Linked DNA regions of Caenorhabditis elegans. The protein of the gene in region 2 purifies or fractionates together with the protein of the main gene of each other region. This does not show direct contact. Each region holds a gene or a part of one and is shown on either strand. Other genes may lie near its edges.

What was found.
Region 1: the proteins of parp-2 (region 2) and twk-36 fractionate together in Caenorhabditis elegans (co-fractionation; one large-scale study listed by BioGRID). This does not show direct contact.

What each region holds. Positions count from the first base shown.
Region 1 is NC_003283.11:17,742,905-17,749,109, reverse strand, and holds twk-36 (Potassium channel domain-containing protein), read left to right. Parts: upstream 1-2,050; 5' UTR 2,051-2,055; coding exon 2,056-2,162; intron 2,163-2,357; coding exon 2,358-2,701; intron 2,702-3,201; coding exon 3,202-3,467; intron 3,468-3,509; coding exon 3,510-3,651; intron 3,652-3,703; coding exon 3,704-3,937; intron 3,938-4,223; coding exon 4,224-4,378; intron 4,379-4,423; coding exon 4,424-4,684; intron 4,685-5,279; coding exon 5,280-5,459; downstream 5,460-6,205. Other genes in the region: R12G8.1 (Phorbol-ester/DAG-type domain-containing protein), read left to right, coding at 1-61, 710-1,029.
Region 2 is NC_003280.10:9,591,237-9,595,656, reverse strand, and holds parp-2 (Poly [ADP-ribose] polymerase 2), read right to left. Parts: upstream 2,621-4,420; 5' UTR 2,611-2,620; coding exon 2,055-2,610; intron 2,011-2,054; coding exon 1,933-2,010; intron 1,842-1,932; coding exon 1,144-1,841; intron 1,095-1,143; coding exon 970-1,094; intron 923-969; coding exon 763-922; 3' UTR 529-762; downstream 1-528. Other genes in the region: E02H1.5 (uncharacterized protein), read right to left, coding at 1-53, 104-328, 373-430; putative tRNA pseudouridine synthase tag-124, read right to left, coding at 2,803-3,323, 3,373-3,523, 3,573-3,810, 3,855-3,979, 4,027-4,154, 4,206-4,251. UniProt on the Caenorhabditis elegans protein: Poly[ADP-ribose] polymerase modifies various nuclear proteins by poly(ADP-ribosyl)ation, a post-translational modification synthesized after DNA damage that appears as an obligatory step in a detection/signaling pathway leading to the reparation of DNA strand breaks and programmed cell death.

The DNA.
Region 1 (6,205 bases), on a different chromosome or scaffold from region 2:
TTTTGCTCATTTTGCTCCAAATTCATATATGGTGTTGGAAAACAGGGTTACAAGTGTCTAGGTGAGTTAGTTGAAGGGTACAAAAAAAATTTTGCCACCTCATGGGCTCGAACCCCGGTGGTGTGCTTGGTAGTTTTTGGAAAAACCCACTGCGCCATTCGGGCATTTTTTTTGAAAACTTGTAAAAATGATCATAATAAGAGAAACACTAATTTCAATATATAATTTCTAATTTCGATGTAACAGTTTTGGATTTTAAACAATTTTACAACTTTCACGAGTTTTGAAAGTCTATTTTCAACGATTTCTTAAAACTTTTACGCTCGGACATATAGAAATTTGAATTCCACGTGTCTGAAATACCCAAAAATATTTTAGAAATTCGAAAAAAAAAATATTTGACCACAGGTCGGACTCGAACCCTGGTCGTAAGATTTGTTGTTCTCGAAAATCCCACTGCGCCATTCGGGCACTTTTTCCTTAAAACCTGTAAAATCGTTTGTTCATTTACAAGCTGGTCTTTATATGTCTAAACACTGCGTACAAAAATATTTGACCACATGGCGGGCTTGAACCCCGGACTTGTGCGCGATAGTTCTGGAAAATCCCACTGAGCCATTGGTGCATTTTCTCAAAAATTAGGCAAAAGCTAGATTTTAAGCACGGAACCTGATTTCTAGTGAATATTAGTTCATATTTCATTTTCCAGGCTGTGAGACAGTCGTTCATAAGCGGTGCCATGCCCTCATCACCGCCCGCTGCACCTTCGGACCATCTTCCCGAGCTCCGGTTCCTGCTGAAACTACAAATCTGAAAACTCGTCGTAGCCGATCTGCTTCGGAAGAACCTCCATCAAATACTCATCACTTTAACAAGCATTTCTTCACTCGCCCGACATTTTGTGATCACTGTGGAAGTATGCTCTATGGGCTCACGAAGCAAGGCGTTCAGTGCACGGATTGTCATGCAAATGTTCATTTTCGATGCCAGGAAAAGGTTTTGAGGAATTGTGGAATTCAGTGTCAATAAATATTGAAAAAATTGAGAAAAAAAATAAAGAAAAATGAAGAAAATTGGAGAAAGTTAAATTTGATAATCAGTCATAAACTCATATTGTTTTCCGGAATAAAGTTATTATAGTTACAATTGAGGCTCATAAACATCATAACAAAAATATTTGTCACTGTGCGGGTTTGAACCACGGACCTCTGATTGGAAGACATTAAAAATCCCACTGCGCCAATCGGACACTTTCCCGAAAGTTCGATTAAAATGACTTTTGCAGCTTGAAATTTGTTAATCACAGCTTGCAAAAAATAAATACCCTTGTGCGGACTCGAACCCCAGCCGTTTGATTGGAAGACGTTGAAAATCCCACTGCGCCAATCGGACACTTTCCCGAAAGTTCGATTAAAATGACTTTTGCAGCTATAAACTTGTTAATCACAGCTTGCAAAAAATAAATACCCCTGTGCGGACTCGAACCACTGACATCTGATTGAAAGACACTAAAAATCCCACTGCGTCATTAGGACATTTTCCTGAAAATTCGCTAAAAATGAATTTCCCAACTCGAACCTCAATTTCTAAAGCTTGCAAAAAATAAATACCCCTGTGTGGACTCGAACCCCGGACCTCTGATTGATAGACATGGAAAATCCCACTGTGCCATTCGGACATTTTCCTAAAAATTCGATAAAAATCACTTTTGCAGCTATAAACTTGTAAATCACAGCTTGCAAAAAATAAATACCCCTGTGCGGACTCGAACCCCGGACGTTTGATTGGAATAAATTCAGAATCCCACTGCTCCATTCGGAAATTTTCTCGAAAATTCGATTAAAACGTTTTCTTTCGTTATTTTAAAGTTTTTTCAGTGTAAAAATAAACTTTTCACACTCAATTATGTCATACATACCATATAAAAGTTAAAATATTCGTTTTCAGTGTAGTTTTAGTCTGAAAACCCCCACCAAATTTGCATTTTAAATCGTCGTCCGTTGACGTCTGTTCTATGTGTTCATTTCATACTTTTTTGTCAATTCCATGTAAAAAATGACCGTAACTTCTGAAAAAGACGGGTTAAAGAGTATTTTGAGTCAGAAGTATACGGTGGAGCGGAAAGATACCGTGCAGCATGTGCTCGAAGGGCCCGGTTTGAGGTTTGTTGGTTTTAATGAAAACATTTAATTAATTTTTGGGAAAATAAGAAAAACCAGGGAAAAGTGTATAAATTTTCAAAAACTTGAATAATTTCAAAAATATTTTCAAAAAAAAATTCCAAAAAAAAAAAATTTCAAAAAATTTTTTTTTTTTAATTCGAAAAATTCCAAAATTGTTTAATTTCCGATTTCCAGCCGCAACCAAAGCAATGCCAGTGTCCTAACCCTCCCAGGATCCCGAAACACCAGCTCCAACCACTTACCGGCTCAACGGAGCACCTCCGTGGATGAAGTGGCTAGGCATCGGGTCACTTATGAGATGGATGCTGGAAAATCTGAAAAATCTGAAAACCAGAATCCAATCTCTCAATATTATCAGAAAAATCATTATACTGTAACAGGAAATCAGGAAACTTACCAAAAACTTCCCAGGAACATTTCGGCGAACAGATTTCAAGTGGATAAAGCTTCAATTAGTCAGAAAAGTGCTCCGCGAGCCAGTGAGCCAATGGAAATGCCAATGTTACCTCAGGAAAGGCGTAAGTCAGTTTCAAAAAAAAACTACAATTTCCTAAAAGCTATCAAGATGTTTATACGACAAATTAAAAGTTTAGCAGAAAATGTTGGCGGAAAATTTAAATTTTTGAGCAAGAAGTTCAAGTTTTATAAAGATGATTCTTTTAAATTTTAAACTTCACTAGATGATTGGGCGGAAAATTCACATTTTTTCGAAAAAATTTGGCGGAACATCGAATTTTTAATAAGAAAACTTCGGCGAGAAATTCAAAATTTCTCAGAGATTTTTTTTTTCAAAAAATGTATTTTACATTCACATTTTCTCAAATAATTCAGCAGGAACGGCAAGACTTTTCAGAATTTTTAAAAAATAATTTCAAGTTTTCCTGAAAAGTTTTGGCGGGAAATTCAAATTTTCTTTAAAATTTTGACGAGAATTTCAAATGTTCCCAGAAAAATTTAAAGAATTTTCAATTTTTTTAAAAACTAGATTTCGCCCTCACCGACTAAAATTTTTTTCCAGAATTCGACAAATCCTTCTACTGGTTCGCAATGCACCGAAAAAAGTTCGGGCTCCGCTACATAGCTTTGCTGGTTTTGGCGTTGATCTACACACTTTTAGGGGCGACGGTGTTTTATCTGATAGAGGGTTCGAATGAGAAATCGAGACTGCATGTTCGGGAGCAAAACCTAGATAAGTTGTTGGATGAGCTAGCAACTGTGCTCTCAGAAGCCGTCAATGACCCGGAGCAAAGTTCTGAGCATCAGAGGATGAAGGAGTTTATAAAAGTATGGTGGTTTTGAGAAAGCTTGCCGGGATTGTCATTTCAGGAATCCTACATTTCCCTGCAAAAACACGAGGAGCAATACAAATGGAGCACATACTATCGTCTAGAGCACCCTGACAATCTCAAATGGACATTTTCAAGCGCATTTTTCTTCAGTATGAATGTTTACACAACTACCGGTTATGGTACCTGATCCAATTTTCTGTAACTTCAGCCCAATTAATTCCAAGGTTCCAGGTTCAATCTCAGCTCAAACCTTCAGCGGTCAGCTTTTCACAATGATCTACGCATTTTGTTTTGTACCGGTGACACTGGTGATCTTAAGGGATCTAGGCCAGATGTTCTTGGTGAATTTCACAAAATTGTACGCGCACGGGTTGACAGCGGTGAGGAGGATTCGTGGAAAGCGAGAAGTCGATGAGGATGAGATTATACAGCTGCCCATCAAGTTTTGTATGACTATTCTGATAGGTTAGCGGAAAGACCTCTGAAGCTTCGAAGATCTTAGAAGTAGCTCCTGTAGCGTCAAAATGCTCAGAGCTAGCATGTACCCGACTTTGTTTAAGATACCTGAGCTTGACTAGGCTATCCATAGTTTGTTAGACATTCTAACCTCGTCGAAACTTCCTAGAGTCAGCCAGGCAAGCCTAGGCTACCTAGGCTCTCTAACTGTCCTTGAAGACGAGTCTTACATGGTTCAGGCCATCATTTAGCCCGCGGTCTCCAACCTTACCCATCCTCGGTTCCAACTTTCCAGCCTACCTCCTCCTCTGCACCACGTTCGTGTACCTCTACGACGCCGTTATGGGCCCGGAATGGGACGACGGCCTACCGTACTTCACCGCATTCTACTTCTCTTTCATCTCTCTCACAACTATTGGTCTAGGCGATGTGATGCCAAATAATGTTCCGGTAAGCTTTTTGTACCTTTTGTGTTGCTTAATTTCAAAATTTCAGTACGCCCCGCCGGTCTCGATGATATTTTTCATCGGCATGGCAGTCACAAAAGTTGTGAATCGAGCAACATTTATTGCAGTGGAAAATGGGGTTTTTGGCCTGATGACCTTGGCGGAAACCAAGATTAGCATGCTCTTGACGGAACGGAAACCTGGTGTAAAAACTGTCAGATCAACATCATCAGGGTCTTCAGCAGAGTCCGTGGATTCAAAAGAGCCACGTGGATTTGATGGGGACTCGGATAGTGGATCGGATGATGGGGTAAGTCAAGCAGAAGATCAGAGAACATATTATTGCATAATTTGGAACTATAGTCACTCTGAAAAGTAAAAGAATCAAGTGAGAAAAAGTGGGTAAAACTGATAACGTTGGAAGCGTTATTTAAAGTCTGAACATGAGCTTGAGAATAAGCCTCAGCTTAAGTTTAGGCCAGAGTCTAAGCCTAAGCTTAAGCCAAAGCCTAAGCATAAGCCTGAGCCTAAGCTTAATTTCTCGAGTTTCTAGTACCTAAGGATAATCGGCCAACAGGAACCCCCTCAAAAATAATAAAAAAACCGGAAAATCCAAAGCCTAAATAGCGTCAGTAGCGAGCCAACGCTCGCCACTGACGCCAAGCCTGAGCCTAAGCCTAAGAGTAAGATTAAGCCTGAGCCTAAGCCTAAGCCTAAGCCTAAGATTAACCAAAGCCTAAGCCTAGACCTAACCCTAAGCCGAAGCCTAAGCCTAAGCCAAAGCCAAAGCCAAAGCCTAGTTCTAAGCCTGAGCCTAAGCCTAAGCCTGAGCATGAGCCTAAGCTTCAGACTAAGCCTAAGCCTGAACCTAAGCCTAAGCATATGCCTAAGCCTCATACTTTCAGGTAATCAACCGCCGCCGAAACGAGATGATGAACACCTTCACCGTCCGATCAATTGCCACATTCATGCGTTCCAACCATGACGTCTATGGTGGAGGATTCGGAAGAGTTCAACTAAGAAGAGGAGACCTTATGAGCTCTAATGCTTTACATACTGTACCTTGGGTCAGACCCTTACCATAATAAATTTTTCAAACCTTTTCTTTTTCGACCATCAAAGATCCAAGATTGTTCTGGCGTCATTCCAGGGAAAAATGAAAATGAAATGAAAAAAGCGAACTGGGAACAAAAATAATATGTCCACTTGTGGAAATTAACTTTCTCTTTAGTGTCCTCAAGTACAAATATACAAATATGTTGCATTTCTGGACAATTACAGACCATCGGCCACGTAATTTAGCCGACGAAAAAAGTGAAATTATTGCATAGGGGGATGAAACCGTAGCGGAAACCAAAAAGGCGGCGCCTGAAGAAGAGAAGCATAATTATAGTGAAACTTAGTGTTAATTGCCTTCTCTACATTGCCTTGTTTCACATCATTTTCTCCTTCCCCTCATCATCATTCATCAGTCATGGGCATCCGTATCACTTTTCCAGATGTTCGTTGATTCTGGTTTTTTATTTATTATGTGAATTTGTTCTGATCTTTTCTTTTTTTGCGGATTTCCTTATCAGAAACTTTTCGGCTTTGAAGATTAGAATATGCTTTTTTATGTTTCAAAATATCATTACTTATATATTTAAAAAAATCATTCGTTTGCCTCCTTTGTAGTTTGTAGCCTATGTAGTCGTTGTAGTCTGTGAAGTTAGTGGGGGATATGGTCGGGGTACTGTAGGGGTACTGTAGGGGGTACTGTAGGGGGTACTGTAGGATTACTGTAATTTAGGAAAAATTGACTTTTCGTTTTTGAAGAGATATTGTGTAAGGG
Region 2 (4,420 bases):
CACTTTTTCAGCTTGTTCTCTGAGCCGACTCGAGCAGAGTTCAGTGTCACCGCCTGGAAATACAGATATCGTGTATTTAAACGTATCACCTAATTTTGCAAACCTTTCTGTTCATAAATCTTTTGAACAGCAGCGTTCAAGACATAGTCAATCGCCGCCGCTCTGGAGCATCCAGACGGTGCACCAAACTCGGTAAAATATTTTTCAAGCTCCACAGTCCATTTAGCTACATCCTGCTCGTCAAGCATCTGAGCAGACCAATTTTGATCACGACACTTCAGATGGGCTTCTTCGACAGTGACGATTAGACGGCGAATCTCATTATCGTCTGGAATTTGGTTAATTATTGTAGAACAATTTCTGAAATACTACCATCGAAATTAATATAGTCACGATCGTATTCCACTGCTCTCAATTTTCTTCTGGACATTTTCTGAAAATCGTTTTGATTAAGCTTGTGAAAATCAGCTTCAAAAAATATAAAAAGGATTAGCAACACCTTCAGAATTTTAGAGAAAAATTTAAATTGCTTCAAAAATACATTTGTTTTTTGATATGAGCAGAAAATGAATGAAGTGAAACCGAAAAAGATGAGATTTTGAGCAAAAACAAATTCCAGGAATGTGATTTTAAAAAAATGAGGAGTATCATTGGATTAACAGGTTTAAAAAAAGTTACAAAAGCTTGACAAATTCAGATCAGAAAATTAAATGGAGAGGTAGAAACAGATAAAATGTGAGAGATTACATGAGAAATTAGCATTTAAGCCATCATTTCCTTAGCGGTAAGACGATCCACTTTCACTTCGACAACATATTTTATTTTGAAGTGTTCCTTGTTGAACATCACATATTCATCGTAGAGAAGACGAGTTTCTTCTTCGATTGTCTCAAGATTTGACTTGAATGCCGGGATTCCATTGCTGAAAATTTCATGGATAAGAATTTTTTGAAAAAAATCAGAATTTACATTTCAACAGTGTCTCTTGGAGTGTGCTTTCCAGCTGCATAAACCGACGTCTTTTTCGCTTTTTCCATTTTCTCATCCGCGTCAATTTCTGACTCGTAGAGAACTAATGGGTTCGCAGTTTCAACCTGAAATAGAAAAAATTGAAAATTGTGAAATTTTCAGTGGATTTCTCACCTCGCAAAGAAGCATGAAAACTCTCTTTGAAGCCTCTGGGCAACAGTAATTCGCGGATTTAGTTGGAACATTTGCGAAATAAACTCCATTTCCGAACATCAGACCACAGCGATCTCCAACTGGGAACTGAAGTCCATTCATGAGGATTGAGAAGACATTTGTCACACGAGTACCGTGCCAAAGAAGGCGTTTTGTAGTTGGTGGTGGAACAGTTGGAGCAGCGGTCTTTGTGCTCTTTCGTCCTCTCTTCTTCGGAACTTCCTGAACTTCAACTGGAGCTTCAGTTGGAATTTCATTTGGATCCTTTAACTCGAATGCATCAATGAGTGAAAGCTTGTAACAATGAGTGGGTCCACGCATAGCCAAGCAGTCTCCAATTTTTCCTGCAATTTCTTCCGAAACTGGCTCCAAATGGCACGGGAGGCGCTCATAAAGTCTTTGATAAATATCCTTCGACGATGCTGTCTTTTTCAAATCCTTCAGTTCCAGTGATGCTTCAATTGATCCTTTCAGTGCATCCAGAAGCTCTCGTTCAGCTTGAATTTTAGCATGAGAATCAATTTTTGGAGGAACACAGAAACCAAATGAATGAGGGATGAGAGAATAATATTTGTTGATGTCGTGAAGAGATGGACCATCGGATTTAACAGCAAGAACACGGTCAGCTACTCGTGGCCGGCCACGAGTAGATCTTCGAGCTAAAAGAATTTCCATTTTTCAGGGAAGATAATGGCCTAAATTTAGATTTTTCAACTTAAAACTTCAAATTTACAAAATTTCATAAAATACCTGATTTTCCTCCAATCGATTCCTCAATCTTACTCAAAATTTCATATCCAGTGGTGAGTTGGGCAAGTGAGAGGCAATCTGAATTTTTCTCTAATTTTTTAATACGATTTTTTAAAACTCACCAATTGGTCTTCCAAAAGCTTCGTTAAATTTCAGTTGTTTCAAGAGTCCCAGATGAACATCTTCGTCGCAGATGCATTTCATCAATTCCTTCAGCTTTTCATTAACTTCTTCAACTGGTTCCTCTTCTTTCTTGATTTCTTTCTTTTCTTTAACAATTCCTCTTTTCTTCCTTCCACGTGTATTTTTCTCATCAACTTTCGGCTCAGGTTCCGGTTCCTCCTTTTTAACTTCTTTTTCAGTCTGTCTTGCGTTAGTAGCCAACTCAACGACTGCATATTTATTGGGAACCGGTTCATCGTCTCTTTCTTCCCAATGAAGATGAGTTTTCTCGTAGAATTTGCTTTCGAAGAACTTCTTGGCTCTGTCGAGGTCATCGAAATCTTTTAATTGTGTGACACCACGATATCCAATACGTCCATTGATAAGCTTCACAATGAAATCACCTCCCTCATCCAACAATTCCATATCGTAAAATTTATTGTTGTTCTGTGCAATATTCGTCTTGCAAAGATGTACTTTATAGCCTCTTCCATTTTCGTCGTTGATTATAGACATTTCTGTCTAGCTGGAAATGGAAATTCGATTATAAAGACAACTTCTTACAATTTTCAGAAATAAATTTGGATTTCAGAAACCAATAAATCAAACAAAAAGGAAAAAATTGATCAAAAAACAGAAACATATATTTTTAAAAACAAAAAAATCAACAACAAAACCGTATTAATAACTTAAAAAACAATTAAACTCTCATAGTTTATCCGAAGATTCTTCTCCATTTTTCTTCTTTTCTGCCATTTTCTCTTTCTTGCTCTCCAGGCTTTCACACATTTTCCTATTCTCAAACCTTATGTAATTTGAAGGTATCGGACGATCTTGTACAAATTCGTGAAGTCCTTTATTGGCATCTCCTGAACTGAATTCAGCCATTCCAGTCAGTTCTCCGAGCATATTTTCCATCATTCGACTTCTCGCCTGATACGTCGCCCAGGTTTTTTGTAGTCCGGTCACTGTACTTTTCAGTGTATAGTCATGAACTTTCCATTCAACATCTTCAGATTTATATCCACAATCGAATAAGCATAGAGGAGTGTCCGAGGCTAAGGTGTACTGCGGCCGGCTCGGATATTTTTTCAGGTCAAGAAGCTGTGAGATTAATGATGGTTGTTCATTTTCTCTTCCAATTTCTTGAAGGATCGTGACTATGTATCGAATCATATGCCAAAGGAAACCACTTCCAGATACAGTGAGCTCCACCATTGAATACATATCTAAAGTTTTACTTGTCAAAACTAAACTCTCTGAATAAATAAACAATACCATTTTCTGGATGAGTCGATACTTGTTCTACCTTGACTTCATAGACTTTTCTAACATAAGACTGCAGCAGTCTTTTCTCGTTCATATCGATTTGGCAGAAATTCGAAAAATCGTGCTCACCGACCAATAGCTCCGCGCCCTGACGCATTTTCTAAATAAATAATAATTTGAAGATAAAAATATAATGAAAATACACCAACCTCTAAGTTAAGGTCAGCTTTAGCAAAAGAATATTTATATGTTCTTCTATTACAATCGAATCTGGCATTGAACGTTTGCGCGACAGGAGCCCAGGCGAAGACTCTGATGGTTTTCGGAAGAACTCCATTGAGCATTTTTACATAGGGAAGCTCTTCTCCACTAGCTTTATAGTCCACTTTTTGATGCTCTTGCGTAGAATCTGACCAAAACACTCCTGAGTCACCGGGACACAGAGATCTGAAAATTGAAATGAGAACGAGTTCAGTAAAAAAATTTTAAACCTAACAACCATTGCAGCAGTTTGTTTAAATGCGGAAACTCCTTTATCGGTCCGTCCACAACGCGAAAAATCACATTTCGTCCAGTCCTCAATTAAATGAGTTTTTATTAGTGCCTGCATGATATGCTGAAACATTTTTAATTTATTTAAATAAAGTATTTTAGAATTCTTACATTTTCCACCGTATTTTGTGTATGCGGTTGTTGAACAAGCCCATCATGCTCCCAGCCCAAATAGAAAAACTGAATTGCAATCTTCCGTCGAGGATGAGCGAGAAAATCCAGGGTTTTTGCTTTTTTTGCTGAAAAGTATTATTTTCAGATTTAATATTCAGCCCAGGCCTAAAACTTACACTTTACAGAATTATTTGCATCTGGGCATACTCTTTTTGACCCCATTGTGTAAATAAAATCAATAGAAAATAATTAAACGCTAGAAGAATAGGAAAAAGTGATTAAAAGGGATCGATTTCAAAAAATTGTGCAACTTCTGTTTGTCTGAGAGGAGTACACGACGCGCGGACTAGAATTGTTTTTTAGTCCCACGTTTTGTACTTCACGTGGACAA